Caenorhabditis elegans: one gene and its partner. The protein of the gene in region 1 purifies or fractionates together with the protein of each later gene. This does not show direct contact. Each region holds a gene or a part of one and is shown on either strand. Other genes may lie near its edges.

Region 1 (3,124 bases):
AGATTCAATGGGTGATATATTCATCATTAGTGCCTATGACTTCTTGCCAACGCAACGGAAGCTAAGCAATACCCTCCGCACAGAACTTCTGAGAGGTAAAGTAGAAAGTCGTCCAATCACGTTTCGACGACCTTTCGATCATGAAACTTATGCCTGGCAAGGTGATTTTAGAGAACGGAACAGATAGTAGTTAGTAGGAACCAAGTTTGGCGAATACGGAGGGTGAGGCAAAAATTGGGCAAATACTGTTTTACTACTTGATCTTTTACTACGTATCTCTTTTACTACAACATCTCTTTTACTACGGAATCTCTTTTACTACGAATTCCGCATCTAGATCTTTTACTACAGTTAGCTCTTTTACTACGTGATATCTTTTACTACGATTTGACCACATAGATCTTTTACTACGGAAAATACTTTTTTACTACCTTATCTTTTACTACGTGGATGTTTTACTACGTTTTACTCTTTTGCTACGGACGTATTTTTACTACGTGGAGGGACACTGTTCTAAGCATTTTCAAAAGAAAAAACAACTGCATATAAGCCGTTTATTTGGAAAAAATATCTGATATAAATTAAAATCGCACAAGCAGGGTAGAAAGATATAATGCTTTTTCATTATTTTTGAATGTTGGTCCCAGTTTTTACGAGAGGTCCTTGATAACCATAATGACGTGATCCTTGTCTGGAGCAATCATGATTTCGTTCTTCTTCGTTCGAAGCCTCAGGAATGTTAGATCATTGCTCGAATCGAGTTCACGAATGGAAGTCTTTGTCTTCTCACATAACTGCTGCAGGAATGCGGTGTGAGACTGGGTGGCGTCGCTGTCGATTGTCGAATGAATAACTCGGCCTGAAAAATATCTAGTTTCATGGAAAACAGTTATTGTTTATTGGTCAAAGCTTATGGAAAATTAGTTGTCAAGGTTTGGTGGTAATTCCCATTCGGCTGAGACCACACTAACTTTTCTAAATGTTACTTTCTAGTTTCTAAACTTTTACAATTTCTATTAATTTTGTTTTTTTTTTAATTTTGATTTTACATTTCTAAACAATTTTCAGGATAGAATTATCTAGGAAAACGTACCGGCTGAATCGACAACAATAATTCCAACGACTCCTTTCTCTGACTGTAGACGGCGAATAGTCTCCTCGAAATCAGACATCTGAAATCAAATGGAAATTGATAAGTTTGTAAGATGGAAGAAAAATAAGCACAGAAATGCAATTTTTCACTTGCTGGTCGACTGAGAACTGCCAAAATTTTCTCCATTTTCCACTTGAGGAGATATAAATTCAATTTCCTTTCGTCGGATATTGAAAACTTGGCGACGAGAAAACGAAAAGAAGATATTCAAAAGTTGGGCACAACTTTTGGCATAAAAACAAAATAACACAAAATAAGAAGTGAGCATGTTTTTTATAAATACCACATAGCAATTTCACAAGTTTTCAGTTATAAAAAATTGAGTTCAAAAGAAACGATTAGAGATCTCAAAAGTTAGAAAAAATAATTCCGGAGTGTATGGAACAAGGAGCAGTGACCAATGGAAGGGGAATACATAAATACGGAAAAGTAAGAAGATAGAGAAAGGAAGAAAGATAAGTTGTGACGAAAGAAGGGGCGGATTCTGATTCAATTACTGCCGCTTTGCCTTTTTGGAGGAAGAAGGTGCATACTTGGCAGCCAGTGAATCGAGGAACGACGTGCCACGTTCCTTCTGGCGACCTTGAATCAGGGCGACAAGATCCGAATTGTTCTGGAAATTAAATAATTATGCATATGAATATACTAAAAATGTAACCTAACGGTAAATGATAAAACTTATAAATAAAGTGACAGATTTTACTGCCATGACATACCTGTGTCATGTTCTCAACTTCGATTGCCTCCTTCTCAGCCTTACGCTTGTAAGCCTTCATCTTCTTCTGAAATAAAACATAAATTTTAACATATTTCACCTGCATTACTTACATCTGAAGTGCTCGTTTCATATTTCTTCGTCTTCTCAATTTCTCCATCATCAATAAGTTTATCCAATGCTTCTTTCAACTCTTCGACGCCATCGAATCCGATAGCATATTCTCTGATTTTCGCGATATCTCCATTGAATTTCTCGTAATGCACAACGAGCTCATCCTTCTGTTCACGAGATCCTTGATACGTCTTCATGAAGCTATCGATATCCTCTTTTGTCACCTTTTTGAAAATCATTCTCCATGCTTTCAAGGCATCTTCATTCAGCTCTCCAGCCTCATCGTCCACTGATCCGGTTTCATCGTAAATTTTCCTTTTCTCTTCATCGGAAAGAATTTGATAAGCTTTGTTGAGAAGCTGAAACTTCGTTGTGTACGTCTGCATATCTTCTTCTACAAGATTCGATTTATCCGGATGCCAGCGCATTGATTGGCGGTAGTATCCTTTTTTAACTAAAAAATAAATTTTCGCTAACTTTAAACATTTGTTTCCCAAAAACTTACGAGCTTTCTCATCGCAATCTTTCTTCACGCCAAGAAGCTCGTAGAGACAATCCGTATTGAAGTGAGTTTTGCATTCTTCCAGAAACATAATCAGCTGGCTGAAAAATGGAAGAAATCAATAGAAAACAGTTGCGAAAGAGTGAATACCACTGGGAGAAGAACGTTCAAATAAAATGACTGGAATCGCAAATTTGCTCTAACGAACAAATAAAAAAGCGCCATGTTCAAACACGAGTTTCGGTCAGAATTGAATTTAAAAAATGCAAAATAGACATGAAATTTCTGCAGAAACGCGTTACCTACTAATATTTATATTAATGATAACAGGAGTGGATGAATATAAATTATTTGGAGCGTTGTTTGTTGCCTAATACACGAAGAAATGTATTTAACAGAAATGGATCATGGAAATGACTTTAAATTCAATTTTAAGTCAGGAGTTTTAAGATTGGGGTTAACTATTGCGAAATTTTTTTATTTTACTTTTACAATATTTTTCAATTTATTCTTAATTTCGTGCTGAAGAATAGAAAAAATCGATAAAAAGGAGTTGAAAATTAAATAAGAAAAAAAACAAATTCAAAAAACTCCATGAGACTGTGATTCGTGGTGAGACCTTGTCATCTGAAACTCGTAT
Region 2 (4,132 bases), on another chromosome or scaffold:
GCAGAAAAGAATTGGTTTATCACCAAATGGAGAATTATTAACCTAATTTTGTTGTGGAAGTCGTAGGCGTGGATACTTGAGCTAATAAAGGTACAGATCGATGAATGAGCCCGCTTGAACGGTTTAAGACAAACATTCCGAGTACCCTGAAACAAATTCACATTTTAAAATATAGAACATTCTAAAATAAATAATAAATTAATAAAATTAAAATAAAAAAATAAATGTTTTTTCAAGCTGTCTGCAAACACCGTCACGGTAAAACACACATTTCGGACGGAACATCGGAGCATCGTTTGGATTTTTCAATTTTCAACTTTTTCTCCGCGAATTTCAAAATCCGGCTCTTTTTCGGGAAACAATGCTTATTTACTTTCAACAATAATAAAGCTGGAATGGATGAACCGGATAAGGAGAAAATCACGAAAGTCATCAACGTATGTAGTAAAGAGTCTATAGAAATATGACTTGATGGATTTTCGCTAATTGAAAAAATCAGCTTTTCTGACCAGCAAATAAAATAAAAGAACCACTAAAATGATAATAATATTTACTGAAAGAAAGTAAAAAAAAAATAAATAAAGAAAGTTTGATTGTATTATTTGACAGAAAAAATAATGGTCCTATTTGGACGTCATTGTCACATCATCGCTTCGAGTATCATCGCCCTGCATCGAATTTGTAGAATCCAATGACGATTTGCTTTTCTTCGACCTCTTCAGGATCCTATTCATTGTGTGACCATCGAACTTCATCGACTGCACTTTTGTCCAATTGGCACGGAGTCCAGGGAGGATTCTGTGACTCTTTGTAGTCTTTTTCGATGCCGATGACACTGGACGAGCTGGAAAAATATAAATTTGCATACTTATACGCTTATTTATAACATTTCTTACGCGGAATGAATCTGGCAGCAGGCAGTTCAGTTCTTTGATCATCCATACGTGAGCTCATACTGAAAATGAGATCCATCATGTCTACGGGTTCCTCGTTCTCTTTCTTTTCGATCGCCACTGGTTTCTTCTGGTCGTCAATGATTCCGTTGACAATCATTTCCCAGGTTTCCACATTTGTTGCGTGCTCCAGTTCGACGACGAACTTATTAATCATGTCATTCGAGGATGTCGGATCAGGAGACGAATCAATTGCGAGGCATACATCTTGATCAGTTGCCGTTTCGCTTCTCTCTTGATTCATCGCCACGTCGATCTGCTCGTAGAACAGTTTGAAACTGTTTTGGTTGATGGTCAGAACACTCCCCAAGATGATAAAATAAGCAGCTTGGCGTCTTTTTCCAAGTGCAATGAGGCACTTTGCGATTGTAAGCAACACATCTCCAATGTATTCGTTCAATCCAAGCTTCCGAATCGATACAAGCGCTTCCAATCCGTAGAGATATGCTTCGTGGAATTCGCCATTTCTCAGCATCTCTTCGGATAGCTTCGACTTATATTTGACTACATCTCGCTCTTTTCCGAATTTCGTGGCGTAGAAGAGAGCACTTCTGTGAATAAAGAATTGATATTTTTATTAATCGTTAAAACTAAAAATTACCTGAGATCTCTGATAATAAAGAAAAGAAGATCTGTCTCAGCATATAGAGCCTTGTCGTAATAGGCGATGTGAACTGCTTCAAACTGGTCTGTTTTGATGGCAAAATCGATGCATTCTTGATACTTGCGACGCGATTCCTCGTATTTTTCGTCTAGTGACAAGCATTTCGCCTCAAGTAACATGATTTTGGTCTCAGACACAGCTCCTTCCGTATTATTCTCGTTGAACAATTTCACGGCTGCAATCTGTTCAGCACATATTGACAAAAGCTTCTTCTTCTCATCTTGATTACTCTCGACGTCTCTTTCACATCCTTCGAGGCACACGGAAGCGAACAAAATTCGAGCTTGACCGATATACTTCTCTCCGTTCTTCTTATTGCTGGTGTAATCAATGAGATCCTCAGCAAACCGTCGAGCCTTGGGGAACTTTCCCATTTTGAGTGCCTGCTCGACGATGCGACGTGTGGAATCACATGCTTCTGGGTAGTTGAAGATCAATCTGAAAAATTAAGGTTATAGAATGTCCAGCTCATTTTTGTGATTCACTTACTTGAACATGTTCAACTCATGTTCGAAAAACTCCAAGGCCTTGGCATCATGGTTCAAATGCCTGCACACTCTTCCGTAATACATGTAGATTGTACCAAGTAGTTGAAAATTTGAGGTTCCGAACTCCATTATCTCCTCTAAGCGTCCTTTTCCATCCTCGTATTGTCCCAATCTCATGGCCGTCACCGCGCTTTTCAGCATTGCTTCGGCGACTTCATCCTTGGGACCATCGTAATAAGAGACGTCCATTCGTTTTGCGAATGTGGAAACTTCTGAAATGAATCGAAAATTGCAAGCAAAAATAAAAGAAATAGAGGAATTTTACGGAAACAGGCAAAACATTCCCGCGATCTCCACGAATACACGAAATATTTAAAACGGGGAAAGTTTCTTCAAATATCTCACGAGGTTTAATAGACTATTGCACATTTTGTTATAAATTTTACAAATCTTCAATAAAACAACCGCTGACAAACAAATAAACTTGAAAAATGACTCGAGAATCTCGAGACAGATCTGTGGGGAAGTGAAAATTGGCGGTTAACGCGTAGTTTTTTCTCGCGCACTCAACTTCTAATTTGGCGCCGCTTTCTGATATGTCGTCAAATGTGTTGCCGATGTACGTAAGTACACCATTACGCGCATTTGCACACTCACAATCAGTGGAGTTTCTCCGCGAATTTCAAAATCCGGCTCTTTTTCGTGAAAAATGCTGACTTTCAACGATAATAAAGCTGGAATGAATGGACTGGATAAGGAGAAAATCACGAAAGTCATCGAAGAAAACACATCAGCGTCCTACTCGTCGTTTTCCAAAAAACAACAATCAAGAATTGAAGAGAAAGTTTTAGAAATCAAAAATCGTTTGCAAACAGCAACCAGAGAAGAAAGACAAAAATCTGAGATACTGGTATGTATTTTAAAAGCTAATAAATTTACTTAGAGCAAATTTCCAATTTTCAGATGGAGAATCTTGAGATGAAACTGGAATCATCTAGAGATTTATCAAGAGACTGTGTTTGTATAGATATGGATGCTTATTTTGCCGCAGTTGAAATGAGAGATAATCCTGCACTGAGAACAGTTCCTATGGCCGTAGGCTCATCGGCAATGCTGGTAAGCACCTAACTCAATTTGAAAAGTAAATTTTCGATTTCGGAAAAGCTTTAAATCTATTCTTTCAGAGCACATCCAACTACTTGGCTCGCCGTTTTGGAGTCCGTGCTGGAATGCCTGGCTTCATCTCAAATAAACTTTGTCCGAGTCTAACGATTGTTCCAGGAAATTACCCTAAATACACTAAAGTCAGTCGCCAATTTTCACAAATTTTCATGGAATACGATTCGGATGTTGGAATGATGTCATTGGATGAGGCATTTATAGATTTGACAGACTATGTGGCAAGTAATACAGAAAAAAGTTAGTGATTTAGATTTGATTATTAACAAAAAACTATTTGCTTACTAGAAACCTTCAAGCGTCACAGATTCGGCGGAGATTGTCCATGTTGGTTACCCCGTTTCGACGAGAATGAAAATACTTTGGAAGACTTGAAAATCGAAGAATCGATCTGTCCAAAATGCGAAAAATCGCGGAAAATCTACTACGACCATGTGGAGTTCGGAACTGGACGAGAGGAGGCTGTTCGAGAAATTCGATTTCGAGTTGAACAACTCACGGGATTAACATGTTCTGCTGGAATCGCATCTAACTTTATGCTCGCTAAGATTTGTTCTGATTTGAACAAACCAAATGGTCAATATGTGTTAGAAAATGATAAAAACGCGATTATGGAGTTTTTGAAGGATTTACCGATTCGTAAGGTGAGACTATTAAAGCATAACCTTCTAGTTTTACCTAGATAATTTTTTAGGTTGGAGGAATTGGTCGTGTATGCGAAGCTCAACTGAAAGCAATGGATATTCAAACTGTTGGTGATATGAATCTGAAGAAGAACCTATACCCTTTGTGTTTCACGCCTCTCTCACAAGAATCTTTCCTTCGAACGGCTCTCGGACTGCCAGGTC

What was found.
Region 2: the proteins of dyrb-1 (region 1) and gpr-1 purify together in Caenorhabditis elegans (affinity purification with western blotting, with the first as the bait; one study listed by BioGRID). This does not show direct contact.

The regions. Positions count from the first base shown.
Region 1 is NC_003280.10:9,105,974-9,109,097, forward strand, and holds dyrb-1 (Dynein light chain roadblock), read right to left. Parts: upstream 1,173-3,124; coding exon 1,094-1,172; intron 860-1,093; coding exon 651-859; 3' UTR 542-650; downstream 1-541. Other genes in the region: dnj-23 (J domain-containing protein), read right to left, coding at 1,647-1,766, 1,870-1,935, 1,982-2,436, 2,488-2,575.
Region 2 is NC_003281.10:8,627,179-8,631,310, reverse strand, and holds gpr-1 (G-protein regulator 1), read right to left. Parts: upstream 2,386-4,132; 5' UTR 2,355-2,385; coding exon 2,107-2,354; intron 2,056-2,106; coding exon 1,555-2,055; intron 1,505-1,554; coding exon 897-1,504; intron 845-896; coding exon 624-844; 3' UTR 535-623; downstream 1-534. Other genes in the region: DnaJ homolog dnj-10, read right to left, coding at 43-136; polk-1 (DNA polymerase kappa), read left to right, coding at 2,815-3,015, 3,069-3,221, 3,290-3,524, 3,573-3,928, 3,979-4,132. UniProt on the Caenorhabditis elegans protein: In the 1-cell embryo, probably together with gpr-2, controls nuclear rotation and spindle elongation during mitosis. Complex of gpr-1 and gpr-2, in association with lin-5, activates G-protein signaling to affect mitotic spindle force.